Linked DNA regions of Caenorhabditis elegans. The protein of the gene in region 1 purifies or fractionates together with the protein of each later gene. This does not show direct contact. Each region holds a gene or a part of one and is shown in the gene's direction. Other genes may lie near its edges.

Region 1 (7,233 bases):
GAAGAAGGACATGAAGAGAATCAGAACATTCGCATACAACGGAGTATCAATTCCACGACGTGTCAAAATGCCAGGACCATCGGATGCTGGGCAGTAGCCAGTTGTTGTCGCATTCAATGGATTGATTAGGTCGCAGCCAGAAATCTTATCAATCTCCTTCCACTGGTTGGCTTCGAGAGCTTCGAATCCGTGCTTGAACCAGGAGACGAAGGAAACGTATTGGTAGTAGACAGGAATTGAGTTGGCGTTTACGTAGAATCCTCCAAAGACGAGCATCGGAAGCACGAACATCGGCATGAAAGTCACCACGAGTCCTTCGTCACCAAAGATGCAAGCTCCAACGTAGGCTGAAAAATGAAAAATGAGGCTTTCAGGCTCAGGCGAAGTTAGCTACCAATCGACACAGCGACCCAGGTCAGCGTGATACAAACGAATACAAAAACCAAGAAGCTGGTCACCGAGGCAACCAGTCCGGCCATCCAGTATATAATCGTGCCATAGATCATCGGGAGAATCGTATATTGGGGGAGTTCAGCAAGGCTTTTTGCAAGGAAATAAGCTTCCACAGAGTAAATGTTCGACTTGTGCTCGCGAAGGAAGACCGGGAGCTCTGAGGTGATCACCTGAAAGAATCTTGATTAGGACCTTTATTTTAGAAAACCTACATTGACCGACGGGAAGTAGAACAAAAAAGTCATGTCGCGAGCACAATTGTACATGACACCCTCCAAATTTTGAATCGTGGGGCCTTTCAGCTCGACGCGCCAATTCACAATTCCAACCAGGATTGCGGTGGCCAAGATCTGCGCAAATCTAACACGAAGCAGCAGTGGATCACGGAACGTTGTTCTCAGTGATCGCTTGAGCAGGATCTCAAACTGGGTGCCGAAGGTGGAGTTGTAGCGGCTGAAATTTTAAGCTTAAGAACTTTAAAAACGAGTAAGGAAGAACAAACCTCTCCCCATCATCTTCATCGTCACCATATCCTCCAAATTCGTCCACGGCTGTTCTTGTCTTCTTGAGCATCTGGGTACCGATGTCACTGTTCTGATATTCGTGGATCAGGTACTGAAAAGTTTTCATTTCGTTAATGCTGTAAGCCTAAGTTTCAGCCTGAGCCTAAGCCTAAGACAAAGCCCAAGCCTACGTTTAAGCCTAAGCCTAAGCCTAAGCCTGACCCCGAACCTGACCGTGACCCTGAGCCGGAGCCTGAGCCTAATTCTAAGCCGAAGCCTAAGCCTAAGCCGAAGCCTAATCCTAAGCCTAATTGTTACCTCAATTCTCGTGACATCCTCCTGCTCGGTCTCCGGACTGATCGAAATCTCCGACATCACAAAATCCGCGGGATTATAGCTTTCGGGGACACGGAAATCTGGCCCAAGCTTATCGAAAAACGGACACAGTCGATCTACGGCGCCATGGTAGACCGTCTTCCCGGTGGCCATGAAGCAAACTTTGTGGAACATGCGGAACACGGTACTCGACGGTTGATGGAGCACGACGATGATCGTTTTTCCCTTGTTAGCCAGGTCGAGCAGGGCGCGCACAACTTCGGAGGCCATGAAGGCGTCGAGTCCAGAGGTGGGCTCGTCGCAGAACAGGATCTTCGGGTCGGTGAGGATCTGTATGTTGAAAGTTGTAGGTGGACTTTGGATCACTGCAAACCTCGCAAGCAAACGCCAGACGCTTCTTCTCTCCGATGGAAATCCCTTTCATACGGTTCGGAATGCCAATCAAGGTATTCTGACAATCAGTCAGGTTCATATCCCTCAGCACATTCTCCACTCTCTCCATCTTCTGCTGCACTGTCGCGTTCTTCATTCTCATGTGAGCCTGAACATTATATTCAGGACTAGTTAACAGCTTCTTCTAGCTTCTAACCAACCGTATAAGTCAGCTGCTCCCGGACCGTCAAGGTTCCACAGAACAGGTCAACCTGCTGAACGTAGGCGCACATTTGCCGCATTTTCTGCTTGGTGATCTTCTTGCCATTGACAGTGACGTCGCCGAGGTACTGAAAAATCGAGAAAATGATAGGTAGCTCGGGGAGCTGGGCTCACCTCAACTCCGTTAGTATCCAAATGGGCCAGGATATTCATCAGAGTCGTCTTACCGGCACCACTCCCTCCCATCAAGGCGAGAACTTCGCCGGGCTCCGCGACACCGCTAACTGAAATTTGATAAGATGAGGTGGGGAGAGCGCAGACAGCGAGACACTCTGGCTTGTCTGCGTCTACACAAAAGAGTACAGAGTATCCTGAGACATCGTAGCATGTGGAGAGAGCGCAGACAGCTAGACACTCTAGCTTCTCTGCGTTTACTTGTCGCCACGTGTCCAAGCCACGACATTTCGAGAAAGTTCTTGCTTCGAGAAACAGTGCAGCATGTTGAGAGAGCGAAGACATCTAGACACTCTTACCATTCCTGATCACCTCCTTCCTGCCACCACCGGCTTGCGGAACCGTCGCCACCAGCCCACTCCAGGCAATAGTCTTCCTTCCCTTCTCGCTACCATCGCCAGTGTCTACAGTAATCTAAATACAAAACGTAGTTTGGGTTACTGTACCTGCTAGCTTACCATCGTACTCTTACTCGTCGCATCTCGCATCGAAGCCGTCGTCAAACTTTGCATTATTTCACAGAAATCAAATACAAATATTCGAGAAGAATTTTTGAAATTCTTACAAATCGGAAATAAATTTTTGAATGAGTTGGATAGGGGAGGGAAGTGAAATGACGTGGATTTTATTTTTTTTTCAACTTTGAAATTTTGTGAATATTGTGATACAATTCACGTGAAGAATGAAGATATTTTTATTTGTATTTTAATTTGCAAAATTGTTTGCAAATTAAATTTTCACGGTTTTCAAAAAACTCCGTATCACAGCTACCATTCTTTGAGTCGTTACTCTGCGAAAAAAAAAAATCAAAATTGAGCTAAAGAGCTGCAAATGTAGTGAAATGTTTTAATCGAATTTTGTGAAAATTTCAAACTTTTAGAAATCCAAATGCTGGCTTTTGGGTAGCTTTAAAATTTCAAATATTGAAAAGTAGTCTTCAAAATAGGCCTGAAAATTTGAAGTCAGCTATTTACCAAATAAATTACCACAATTCTTCAAAAAAAAAAATGTATCAGACCGCATTTCTAGATCGCTACTTTGTGAATTTAGCAATTAATAGATTGATTTTTTTCTGAAGTAAAAATCTTCAAAAATTCTTTAAAAATTCATAAATTTTTGGTTTTTTTTAAACATTTTTTTCCCCCTGAATTCGCAAAAAAAAACTGGAATTTTCCATACGAAAAATAGCTTGAACATTGTTCCTTAAATTACTTTTTCACCCAAAAAATTCTAGGCCGACAAAAATTTGCGCTGGTATTTGAAATAATTTAAATAAAATAAAAATTTGAAAAAAAAATTATACAAATTTGAAAATTGAATAAATAATTTAAGTAACTTTTCAATAATTTTTTTATTCCGTTTTCAAATTTTCCCGGTTTTCTTTTTGATACCTCTACAAGTATAAACTTCTCCGTAACTACCTCTACACCCACTACTCCTCCTTTAAGACCCCTTCCGCTAAAAAACTTGGTACATCTGAACGTTAGCGGTATGCTTTCTTCAAGTATACCATTCGGCCTTTCCGCTCAAAAATCTTGCTCGAGACCCCCTTCCAGTTGAGGCCATCTTCACACTAAAACATAGCCTCCTTTCTCTAAGGGGGGGGGGGAGAGTTGTAAATCAAAACAATAACGGACGTTGACTTACAGAAGTGGGGGTATCGATCTGAAACAGTGCTCGACACACGTAGAACGCTACAGGACATGTGGATATATCTAGTCGATTAGAAGGAGGTGGTTACATTATTGTAGGCTCTTTTTTTTTGGTTTTGGTGTTTTTTAGTTAGCTACTATATTGTTTTAAAATATAAAAATGTTCAAAATTGCCCCTAGGTATTAAAATAACTAAAAAAAAAAAGAGTGAAACTTTTGGCAAAACCCCCAAAACCATCAGAAATGAATATTTTCGAGGGTTCTTATTTTCATTTTTGGCATTTTTCAACATGTCATTAAATAAAAAAATTTATCGCCATTTAAAGTAAATTTCAAAATTGAAAATTTATTTCGATAAATCATTTAAATTTTTGATTAACATTTTCAAAGTTCTGATCATTTTTTGAAGTTAATACAATTTTTTAATCAACAGAAATATAATAACTTAATATTTTTATTTAATATTTAACTTAATAATTTTTATAAATTGCTTCTTCCTCCTCAATAATCAATTTTCAAATAAATTTCATCAATTTTCCGATAATCATGCAGCAAATAATTTTCAAAAGTGCCGAGTTTTTGAGAATGAAGGCCAAACATCACGCGGAGATTCAGGCACTTTATGTGAGTTTTTTAAAAAGAAAATTTTGAATTACATTGCTTTAAACTTAGGAAAAAACCTTATTGTGTTTTACAACAAAAAATTTACAGCTAAATTTTTTCTTTGGAAATTTTTTCTGAAATATTTGCGCTGAAAAAAACCCATTTTTCAAAATTTCTTTAAACTTTTCAAAAAAATTCTCGCATTTTTTAGGCCTAAACTTTCACAAAACTGTAATTTTTTCAGGAACTGTGCGGTAAAATGAAGGAAAGAGGAGCTCTAGGAAAGCTGAAGAGAACGATCAACGAAAAAGTGATAGATTGGAATCGGAATGGATTGAGGGTCAAAGACTACTATGATCTACACGGAATGACAACCAATGGGGCTGTACGTTTTGTGTTAGGCATAGTTGAGAATATGCAATTTTATGGAAGTGAGTTTGCAATTTTTGTTTAAAAAAATCAGCTAAAATCTAGGAAATTTACCAAAAAAAAAACGCCAAATTTGAAACGTTTGAAATATTCAAAAACCTTTCTCTTTTCTCTTTTGAAAATGCTGAAAAATTCAAACAATTCTAGTTCAAAAATGTTTTCATTTTAATTTTCATGAATTTTTATATTAAGATTCCTAATCCCCACGCTTTTTTGTTTTTATTCCGATATTTGCAGCTCTTTAGCTCAATTTTTGGAAATTGGCAGAGTAGCGACTCAGATCACGGGGCTGTGATACGGAGTCTTTTAAAAGTTGTAGGAACTGAGCTAGAGCGCTGACATATTTTGAGTAAATACGTTAAAATGTGTAGATTTCAACTACTTTTTCAAATCCAAATTATTTTCAGAAATCAAGCTGGAAACCGGAAGAGGAAATCACTCGAAGGACAACATTCCGGTGATCAAGAACAAGTTGCTGAGGACATTCAATTGCCGGTCAAGATGTAAAATTTTCGAAGACAAGTTGAATCCAGGAGTCCTAATTTTGAGTCTTTGGTGATTTTTTTATAATTTCAACTGAGCACACTGCGTTGGAGTCCCCGAGGAGAAGCCAAGACCCCAGAAAATTGTGGAGCCATTTTGGACTTGGAGCCATACTTGGAGCCGGGGTAGCGCAACTTCAAACGGATTTTTTTCTAATTTTAAAGCAATTTTGTTATTAACTATGTATTTGTTTATTTAATAATCTATTTTTTGTATTAATAAATTAATTTTAAGATTCAAAACTTCTCGCTTCTATCAAACTAACTATTTTAAAACTCTTTTATCTCCGCAGATACAAATTTTTTTCAAAAAAAAAGTCAACTGAGAAAATGTGCCAAATTTTCAGCTTAACATTTTACTAGTTATCTATTTTTCAAAACCTCATACCAGTGAAATGTTATGTAAGTTTTCCCATCTCTAATTGAAGTTCGAAATATTAAATTCTTATGAAGCGGCCTGGTAAACAAAATTCTGAGTCACATTTTCGACATTTTTCAGAAAAAAAAGCTCCCCTTGTTTCCTGATCAATTTTCCTTGCCAATCGTCCTTTACCAGGCGGTACATTTATTTGCATTTCCCCCTACAACACTTTTTAATGGGATTCGGCAGGGTGCTTTGTTTTTGGCATTTTTTTTCATAGTAGGCAGGCGCGCTTTCAGGCACTAGCATTTACCTGCCTCATCGCCTAAGTTCTGCATTCTGGCTTTTAATGGTGTTTCGGCCACGCAGCGACCGGCAGTTTTCGGCACTGTACTATGCAGAAGGCGCGGTGAGGCAGACGAAGGCAGGCGCGGCAGACATTTCTGCGCCTTCATGGAAGTCCTAGTTCAGGGTCTTAGGAATTGCCTACTTGAGTTGTTGCCGATTTGCCGATTTGCCATAGGTTTCCCTCTCCAAAATGACATCATTCTATACTTGCCGGAGAGCTAAGGAAACTAGGGGCAATGTTACTTTCACACGTTGCCGCCATACAACCCCCCCCCCCTTCCATCTCTACTTCTCTATCACTCTATCAGTGACCCCCTCACATCCCATTGTCACCCATCTGTACGGTGGTGGGGCCCCGCGCGCACCCCAGAATATTCGTCCGGCGAGCCGCCGGCCACCTCCACTGGATCAATACTCTCTCGTGTGGTGAGCGTGTTGCCTGCTCCTCGTTATCGTTTTATGGGACTGTGAGGCCTGTTTTTCTTTTATTATTTGCCGTCCTCAGAAAGTTACTTTTTCTGAACACATTCCTTATGTTACAGGTGCCTAAATTGCCAAAGGTTGCTGCATGAAAATGCCGATTTCCAATGGTCTTCGTCGCTTCTTTTCACAGGTATTTTTAGAAACTTACAGATGCCTCCCATGCCTGCCTGCCTACATGCATGCCTACGCGCCTCTTCATGTCCTGCCTATTGCCTACCTAACACTTGCTTATCTTCCTGATGTCATGCATACCTTCTTCCTCATGCCTACCTGCTTAACGCATCTCTAATGAGCCGATCATGCCGATCATCTGCACGCCTACATTTCTGCCTATTACCTTCCTTTTTCTCACGCCTACCTGCTCACCGCATCTCTAATAACTGCGTGCCTGCCTATCGCCTGCCTTCAGTTATGCCTACTAATTTCCTCATGTCTACCTGCACCGCTTTTCGTAAGGCGTACAGGCCGAGATACCGCTTATATGCCTGTAACCCCCCTCCCCACCGCTTTCATATGCCTTCTCACCAACATTTCTGCCTATCACCTTCCTCATGCATGCCTACCTACCGCCTAATTACCTAATTTTCAGATGCGTCGTTTCTTCCGTCGCCGCCGAGTTTCTCATGCCTCCCCGATCATTAACCATATGGGTCATGGGGAAATTCCGGTAATCTGATTTTGTGTTCTTTTAAATT
Region 2 (7,981 bases), on another chromosome or scaffold:
TTTCAAAAAGTAGGATTACTATACCGAGATAAGCCGTTTTGTGCAGTTGCCGATCTGGTTGCCGCACAACCCTGAGCCTTGGTTATGAACAACACCTAATTATGTTTTAGCCACATCATCACCCTTAACATTACTCATTTTGCAAATACTTCATTGGTTTCTTATCACATAGTACCTTCTTCACCCCACTTGTCGTGTGCCCTTTTTGAGACTAACTCTTTTCGTTTAACATTACACACTTAGCAAATGGCAAATGGTATTTGGACGCAGTGTAATGTGTGAAGCAGTTCTTAACAGTTAAGTTGTACAGGCATGTTTTGTTAGACTTTTCGATATCTTACAAACTACACAAACAAACTCTTCAGCTCGAGAAGTGAACAACAGTGGGAAACAAAAGCTACTTGTTTTTTCATTGAAGTAAAATTAGTGCAATTTTTGGAATTATGGAATTAAATATAAATTTTGTGAAATCCCCAAACCTTAATTTTGGCATTTTGATTGAATTTGAATCGTCTATCTTCATTCAAATTGACATTGCCATGACAATCTTTTTTCATTAAAATGAAAGAGGCTTGTATTTTATGTAATGGCATTGCACTCTCTGTTCTTTCGCGCCCAAAGCAATCACAACGGTATGCATTCACTTTTCCCTTCGATTTCATATTTTTGCTCGTCATCTTTCTCTCTCTTTCTTTTTTTTCGCCCAATTCACTTTTCCAAATCTCGTCTTTCTGATTTACATTGATATTCCCAAGGAGAAAAACGGAGAAAGACAACTATCCCTCTTCTTCACGTTGGCTATCCAATCAGAAATTATAGACGTTTCGGTCTATGGCGCTGGCGTTGTCAACTTCATAGCTCCTCGCAACTTCTAATTTAACACGGGCGCGCTGTCCCGTTTCCCCTCATCGCGTACTCCTCTGGTCAAAAAAGGGATGGCTGCATCGCATTGATTTCCGTGTGTCGCTCTTTCTGTTGTTCTCCTCAACATGCACACAGATTGAAAAAGGGGAAAGATGGGAAACTATGAAACGGAAACCACATTATAAGAAATAACATGGGGAATATATATTCGTTGCATTAATATGTTTCAATGTCGAAAAGAAGGGGCGATTTTTGAGAACAGCAGTGAGACTCCTTTATTTCTCCAGCCCTACCTTGAAACGTTCTCATTCTAAACACGTATTAAATTGGTACAGAGGTGTACGAACATTTGAAGATTGAAGTATCATACCGTAGAAACTCTACGCAAGAATGTGTGCATCTATATCATCAAAGGTTTCTTCTCTGCCTCTATTGAAAACGATAAGGAATTGGTTTCATTGTCTTCTGCTCATGCTGCTCATGCTAGATCGAGCCACTGTTTATCAAAGCTTCCATCGTTATCACAATATCACAAGTTTCCAGTATTATCGAACAACCCTCTTTGGCATTTCTTCTTCTTTATTTTGGTTTTCCAACGTCATACAATCACTCCTACCGACCACCGGTAGGATGTTGCCCGCCTCCTTCCTTCTTTCACATACACCTCACAACAGGCTCCTTCCTTCATATTCTCGTCTTGGCTCCGAGCGCGACCGCCGTCGCAGCCATTGCCCTGGTCGCCGGTCTTCTACCCTTCCCCTCTTCTGACTGTGGCGCTGTTGGAGCCCAATTGACAGCAGAATGCTCTACTGATAGTTACGAGTGAGAGTAAGATTAGCTGCTGTGTTGCTGTAGATCTTCTACACGTATTTAAATTCCGGCCTCGTGTTCGTAAGTCGTAAAAATTGTGTGTATATATTATTTTTTGCCCTCCGAGTTGCTAACAGGAAATTTTCTATAACCGTGCAAATATAACCTCTTGCATAATTTTATTGCCTTTTGATAATAAGTTTCTAATGTATACAGTAGCTCACTCATCCAATGAAGGACAAAAAACAACTTTTTTGAATTTTGTGATTTGTGCAACAAAAAAGGGAGAACCTGACGTTTTCTGTCCATAGGTTACTTTTGAGTTTTTTCTCACGTTTTATCTTATCGATCTTTTACATACCTTGCACAAATTCTATCATGAATGACTATTAGTTAAGTACGAAAGCCGCGATACTTTTTCATTATATTGCGTAAACCTCTTTGCTTATTCTGTTCTCTACACACTCTCTTTTATAAATCCTTGGAAAGAGCACTTGCTTGAAATCCTCTTATCAAATTCAAAAAATACTAACAACAAAAATGTGCAAAGTGGCAAAAAATATTGTTTCAGCGTTTTGTAGAGACAGAAAGTCTGAGAACCAGCGACCATAAACTAACGTAACGTAACTGATTAATGAGAAAAATCAGAAAGATCAAACAAAGTAGCTTCTATCCAGGCACAAAATACTTTACTGCAAACCAATAACGAATTTTTATCTTCTGGGAAACTGGAAGTTTTTCGAAGTGTTGCACATTGATTGTAGGCGCGAAGATAGGGATCTTTACCGGTTTCTACGACTTGCGCATCAAAACTTTGCTAGACAAAATCGTAGAATTATTATAATTTGTTTTGATGGTTAATTTTTTGATTACGGGGAAAACCTAGCCAGAGGAACGTCTAACAAAATTTTGCGGAAAATTGAAATATTGTGTGTAATTGTCAGACCCTGAATTAGTTAACCTCCCAGTTTTCAAATAAGATACCGTTTAAAAAAAACATCGGTGTATATATTTATTAATCTTTTTAAAAAGTGACGTCACACGAATCTTATTGTGCGACGTCAGTACAGAAATCCGAGTCATAATTTTTTGAAACTTCTGGAAATCATTTTGAGAAATTCTTTGAATACGCGTGTTTGAAAAATAAAAAAATTTTCTATGTATTTTTTTTATATGTATATATAATTTTACTTTATTTTTCTAATTTCATCAAAATTATCGTTCCAATTCAGTTTGAAAAAATTATTATTAAAAAACCTAGAAGCTTCAGTTTAATTGCCAAGTTCAAGTTGACCTGATGCAGGATTTTTCTGATATGTCTCACACAGAAAATATTTTATTTGATGACCATTTCTAATTCAAGATTCTCAATAATTTGAAATATGTAAAAATATTCACCTTTCTTGCTGCCATCTCCATTATTTCCTCGAAAACTCCTTTTGTTTTCGATTTTCCTTAAAGAATAATAATTTTTCGTTGTGTTTTTTCTCACTCACCATTTGTCATTGGTATTTGATGATCCACTGATTCTGACATTGTTTTCATTCTTCTCAATTCTCAATTTTGTTATTAAATTCAGAAACTCGCAAATTATTTTGATCTTACTTGTTGTGTTTATGAACCTTTCGTGAAACTTTCCACATTCTCGATCGCACGGCCAAATCTCGCAGTATAACTGAATTCCCTGATGAAGCATTTCGCGATACATGCTGAAAAAAAGAGAGTGAAGTCATAAATGATGCTCGCACCGAAAGCAAGAGTGACCAAAAACGCAAAAAAAAAAGAGGGTGTGATAAATAAAAGTGTGAAGGCATCGTCACGGGTAACTAAGGGCAACAGTGTAACCTTTTCTAGATACGTGTGATTTTTTTATGTTTACTTATAACGGTAACCAACGTACCACTTAATTGTTCTGCTGTCATTTGAAATTTGACATTAATTTAATAATTATAGTTTCGAAAATGGAGGACCTCGAAACTTCAACTTCAGACAACGAAGAAAATCATCGTTTGACTCTTTATGACAGTACGTTATTAATTCCTACAAAAAAGAAAAAGTAAACTACTTTGTAAAACAATTGAACCCTTTTGCTGAAATGTTTTTTTTCTCTTAAAAAATATAAGTAAATATCATTTTTCGATGGTTTCCAAAAAGTTTTAGAATAGTATTTAATGAATCATTTTAAACATTTATTAGTGTCCCGAGATTTAGCTAGGTTTGGCAAATTTTCTTTGTCCAACATGATTTAAAAATGTAATAAATTTGAACCAAATCTCATTCAAATCTAATTATTATATTTCGAACATTTGTTTTCTAAAGATTTGATTCTAAAATTCTATTCGCACAGTACATTAATTATTTAACGAATCCTCTCGGCTGAGCTCAGTAGTATTTTTTGGAAACTAACCTAGTTCTTCAACATCGTATACAGTGATTGAAAATTATTCAAAAAAAAATCATGTTTACTTGAAAAAAAAGGAAAAAAAGAGAAAAATACAAAAGATGAAAAAGATGGATGAACAAGTGGATATATTTTAAATTGTCTTTGAAAAAAAAGTACTCTGAAACTTTGAACTTTGAGTTTGAAAACGTTTCAATTTTTAATTTTATAGAGTGTATACAAAGCAAGTGGTATCTGGATAAAGCAAAAACGCTTAAGTCTCCTGAACAAATAGAAAAGCTGGGCAGATTATTAAACTTTTTGGACCAAGATGAGTATCATGACCGAATCGATTATTTGTCGGATCCAGTGCAGGTGAATTTTTTGTACACAGTATAGAACATGAGAAAAGTACTGCTTAACATAAATTTTTAATTTTTTGGATAATAAAAAGTAGGGTTGTAGGCAGCGTTGCGGCTTCATTAAAAACATATAATGCTAGACTTCATTTTGAAAAATAATGCACATGTTAGTTTTCTCTCAACCAACGACTGCTGAGTATTTGTTGCCTGGAGCCTAAGAATTGGTATAGAAATATTTCGAAAGGAGAGTAGGAGATGAAGTGAAAGATAATGATAGAAAGAAGAGGGTGATGTAATTATAGCTGAAGAGAAACCTTTCAAAGGATGGATTAGCAACAAAGATTCTCGAAATTGAAGATTTAGTTCAAAAGAAGACTATACATAATGCATAACAGAGAAAAACGGATAGAACGTGACTAGCAAAAGTGATTCTTAAAGATTGCTGAATAATTTCTTTGAAATTCAAACTTTAAGCATCAAAAATTATTAATCATGCAAAATTCAAAAATGTTATAATTCCGGACATGAATGAGTTAAATATTTAACAATGACAACGAGTAAACAACGAGTTTTTGCATTGATGAGAAATTCAGCACGTTAAGTTTTTGCGGGCGTTTTGAAGCTATATTATTATCGCACTAACATAGCCAAAAAAAAAAAAAGTAAAACATTGTTAAGTTACAGCAATTAACAAAATCTTCAATTCTCAAGCGCCCTTGTTGTGAAAAAATGTTTACCAAATTCTTTGAGAAATACCCAGAAATAATCATCTCCTTCGTAAACTTTTGAAACTTTTCTAAAAATAAAAATGAAGAAATATAGGTTTTTCATTAGAAGAACAAATGTATTTATTTTATTAAAATAAAATAGTTTTTTGTTTTTAGCGACCAACAATCATTTTTTTTTCAAAAAAGTTCATTTTAAGTAAGATATTAATTTTAAAAGTTATGATAATTAAACAAATCTCCAAAAAAAAGGGAGACTTATATATAAAAAATACAGTTCGTCTGTCCATAGTTTGTAGTCTATGTAGTCTTTGTAGTCTGCGGAGTTTTGGCTTATGAAGGGTTATTGGTGAATGGTTAGTGGGGAGATATTAATTTTAAAATTATGAAAACTAAATAAATCTCAGTATAAAAAAGGGGTCATTTATATGCCTGAAAGGTCAATTTTTTTGATTGAACTGGAAGCTTTTGGCACCTAGAAAAAATTTGCATTTAAATTCTGAAAAACGCTAAAAATTTCAAACAAGTCCCCGAAGAAACATTTCCAAAAAAGTTCATTTCAAGTAAGATATTGATTTTTAGAATCATGAATACTTAGTAAATCTCCCAAAAAAAAGGGGTCATTTATATGCCTGAAAGGTCAATTTTTTTGATTGAACTGGAAGCTTTTGGCACCTAGAAAAAATTTGCATTTAAATTCTGAAAAACGCTAAAAATTTCAAACAAGTCCCCGAAGAAACATTTCCAAAAAAGTTCATTTCAAGTCAGATATTGATTTTTAGAATCATGAAAACTTTGTAAATCTCCCAAAAAAAAAGAGGTCATTTATATGTCTGAAGGTCAGTTTTTATGATTGAACTGGAAGCTTTTGGCACTTAGAAAAATTTTGCATTTAAATTCTGAAAGTTATGATAATCAAACAAATCTCCAAAAAAAAGGGCCATTCTGTCTGAAGGTCAGTTTTTTTGATTGAACTGGAAGTTTATGGCACTAAAAAAGTTAGTTCTTCTATCATTACAAATCCAACTAGGCTCTTACTTTTTATACCAGATCTAGAATATTCGAAAGTAGAAGAATTTTCAGTTAAACAAAAATGAGCTCCCAGTCGACACCCCTGAATGCTTCTACAATCTTACAATGATTCCGGAATTTTGTACAATGACTTCTCGCCAATTCTTTTCTATGATACAATCTGCAGGTAAACAAAATGTTTCAAAACTCGGCTAAATCCATTTTGCAGACGATAGGAAATTCAAATCTGTAATTGCAAAACTTGGTGTATACTTTGACCATCCACAAGAAACATTTTGGGACTTAATCCCTCTTTTCACGTTGGGAGATGAGACGCATGTTTTAGCATCAACTTTATTTCGGTAATCATTGGGTTATTTTAAAAACGTGTATAGTTTCCAGATATGCAACGAAACTGTTTTCCCCTTCAATAAGTGGCGTTATTCGGATTAAAACGTTATTAAGGTTGTTGAATATGGGGCGCCCGGTAAGTATTTCTTTTAATGGAGTAAATGTAACACACTGTAAATAAAACCTAAAGTAAGTCTCAGAATACTGAATCACATTTAAACGCCAGTACAAAATTTTGATTTAGATCTAGCTTTTTACACACTTTCATAAATACATAAAAAATGTGAGAATTTCCCGAGCTGAGAACATTCAGCATTTTGGTCGAAACAACAAACTGGCACTATCGAGATACTCATGGACAAAATCACGCGAAGATTGTTATTACGGAGTCGATGCAGCTTTTAAGCCATTTATCATCAAAAAGCATATAGTTCCTGAACGTGATTATCCACTTTCCAAAGCTACAATTGAACCATTGCTTGTTGAAGAAGAGGACTACGCATCATTTGTGAGTAATAAAATACTGATGTTTCGATTGTCGTACATAACAAGGAAAAATCCTGTAATGACTAGGTTTATTATTTTTTTGAAGATTAAATTTCGGACAGAATGAAAAGCTTTAAAAAAAATTTAGACTATAGCTTAATTTCGGTCGTTTAGAGCCAATTGTAGTCAAAGCAAATAACCCACACACTCATGTTTTATGAATTTACAGGACTCTGAAAGGGCGATTGTACTGCTGTATCATTTTCCGCAAATTATATTGCCATGTATTGGAAAAAAGCATTTCAAAAAGTGGGATCAGTATTATTGGGAAGTGGAATCAATGTCAACAAACACGTTAAGTTGCATTTGCAAAAACAACATGGGAATTTTTATGCACATTCAAGAACACTTCATCTACAAATCGCCATCAGGTTTCCTCTGTTGGGGATGCTTCCCACATAAACATCTCCTCCTTGTAGCTTGCGCGAATTTTTTTCGGGATATGGTTAAAAGTGAGTAGTTGACTGACTTTAATGCCGAACAACACATATTTTCAGATCCAAAAATCCGAAAAGCCGCAGAAAAAAGAACTCTACCTAAGATCGAAGATCTTTACGAGACTTTGAGGAAAAAGCCAAAAACTCGTTGTCCCGCTAAAGAGGAACGCGACGTCATAATCACTCGTGGTAAAGCACAAAACGTTTCGAATTCAATAGAAGTTGTAGTAATCGATGACGATGATGATATTGGCAACATCCAGGAGGACAAAACTAACACAAAACGACAAAGTGCAGAAGATGAAGAAGAATGCGATCTCAATGTTTGGGCGTTTTCATGCAACTCAACTATTGAGCACAAGGAAGCTGAAGAGCTAATCAGTCATTTGGAGCTAGAATCTTCTCAGAATTCAATTCATAACGACAACAGGAAGAAAAACGAAGACTATGACATGGAAATTTCTGAAATCGAAACAATCACTCAACGCCAACTTG

What was found. The genes of interacting proteins can lie anywhere in the genome.
Region 2: the proteins of F02E11.4 (region 1) and C05C9.3 fractionate together in Caenorhabditis elegans (co-fractionation; one large-scale study listed by BioGRID). This does not show direct contact.

The regions. Positions count from the first base shown.
Region 1 is NC_003280.10:3,274,386-3,281,618, reverse strand, and holds F02E11.4 (Smr domain-containing protein), read left to right. Parts: upstream 1-3,832; 5' UTR 3,833-4,318; coding exon 4,319-4,396; intron 4,397-4,619; coding exon 4,620-4,806; intron 4,807-5,211; coding exon 5,212-5,363; 3' UTR 5,364-5,578; downstream 5,579-7,233. Other genes in the region: wht-4 (ABC transporter domain-containing protein), read right to left, coding at 1-347, 395-623, 666-906, 956-1,068, 1,275-1,622, 1,666-1,833, 1,886-2,014, 2,061-2,170 and 2 more; F02E11.3 (ORF56), read left to right, coding at 6,624-6,668, 7,128-7,205.
Region 2 is NC_003284.9:11,148,467-11,156,447, reverse strand, and holds the start of C05C9.3 (ULP_PROTEASE domain-containing protein), read left to right. Parts: upstream 1-3,627; 5' UTR 3,628-3,635; coding exon 3,636-3,699; intron 3,700-4,286; coding exon 4,287-4,429; intron 4,430-6,224; coding exon 6,225-6,339; intron 6,340-6,381; coding exon 6,382-6,514; intron 6,515-6,554; coding exon 6,555-6,639; intron 6,640-6,816; coding exon 6,817-7,011; intron 7,012-7,218; coding exon 7,219-7,501; intron 7,502-7,546; coding exon 7,547-7,981. Other genes in the region: C05C9.2 (uncharacterized protein), read right to left, coding at 3,073-3,128, 3,171-3,230, 3,280-3,382.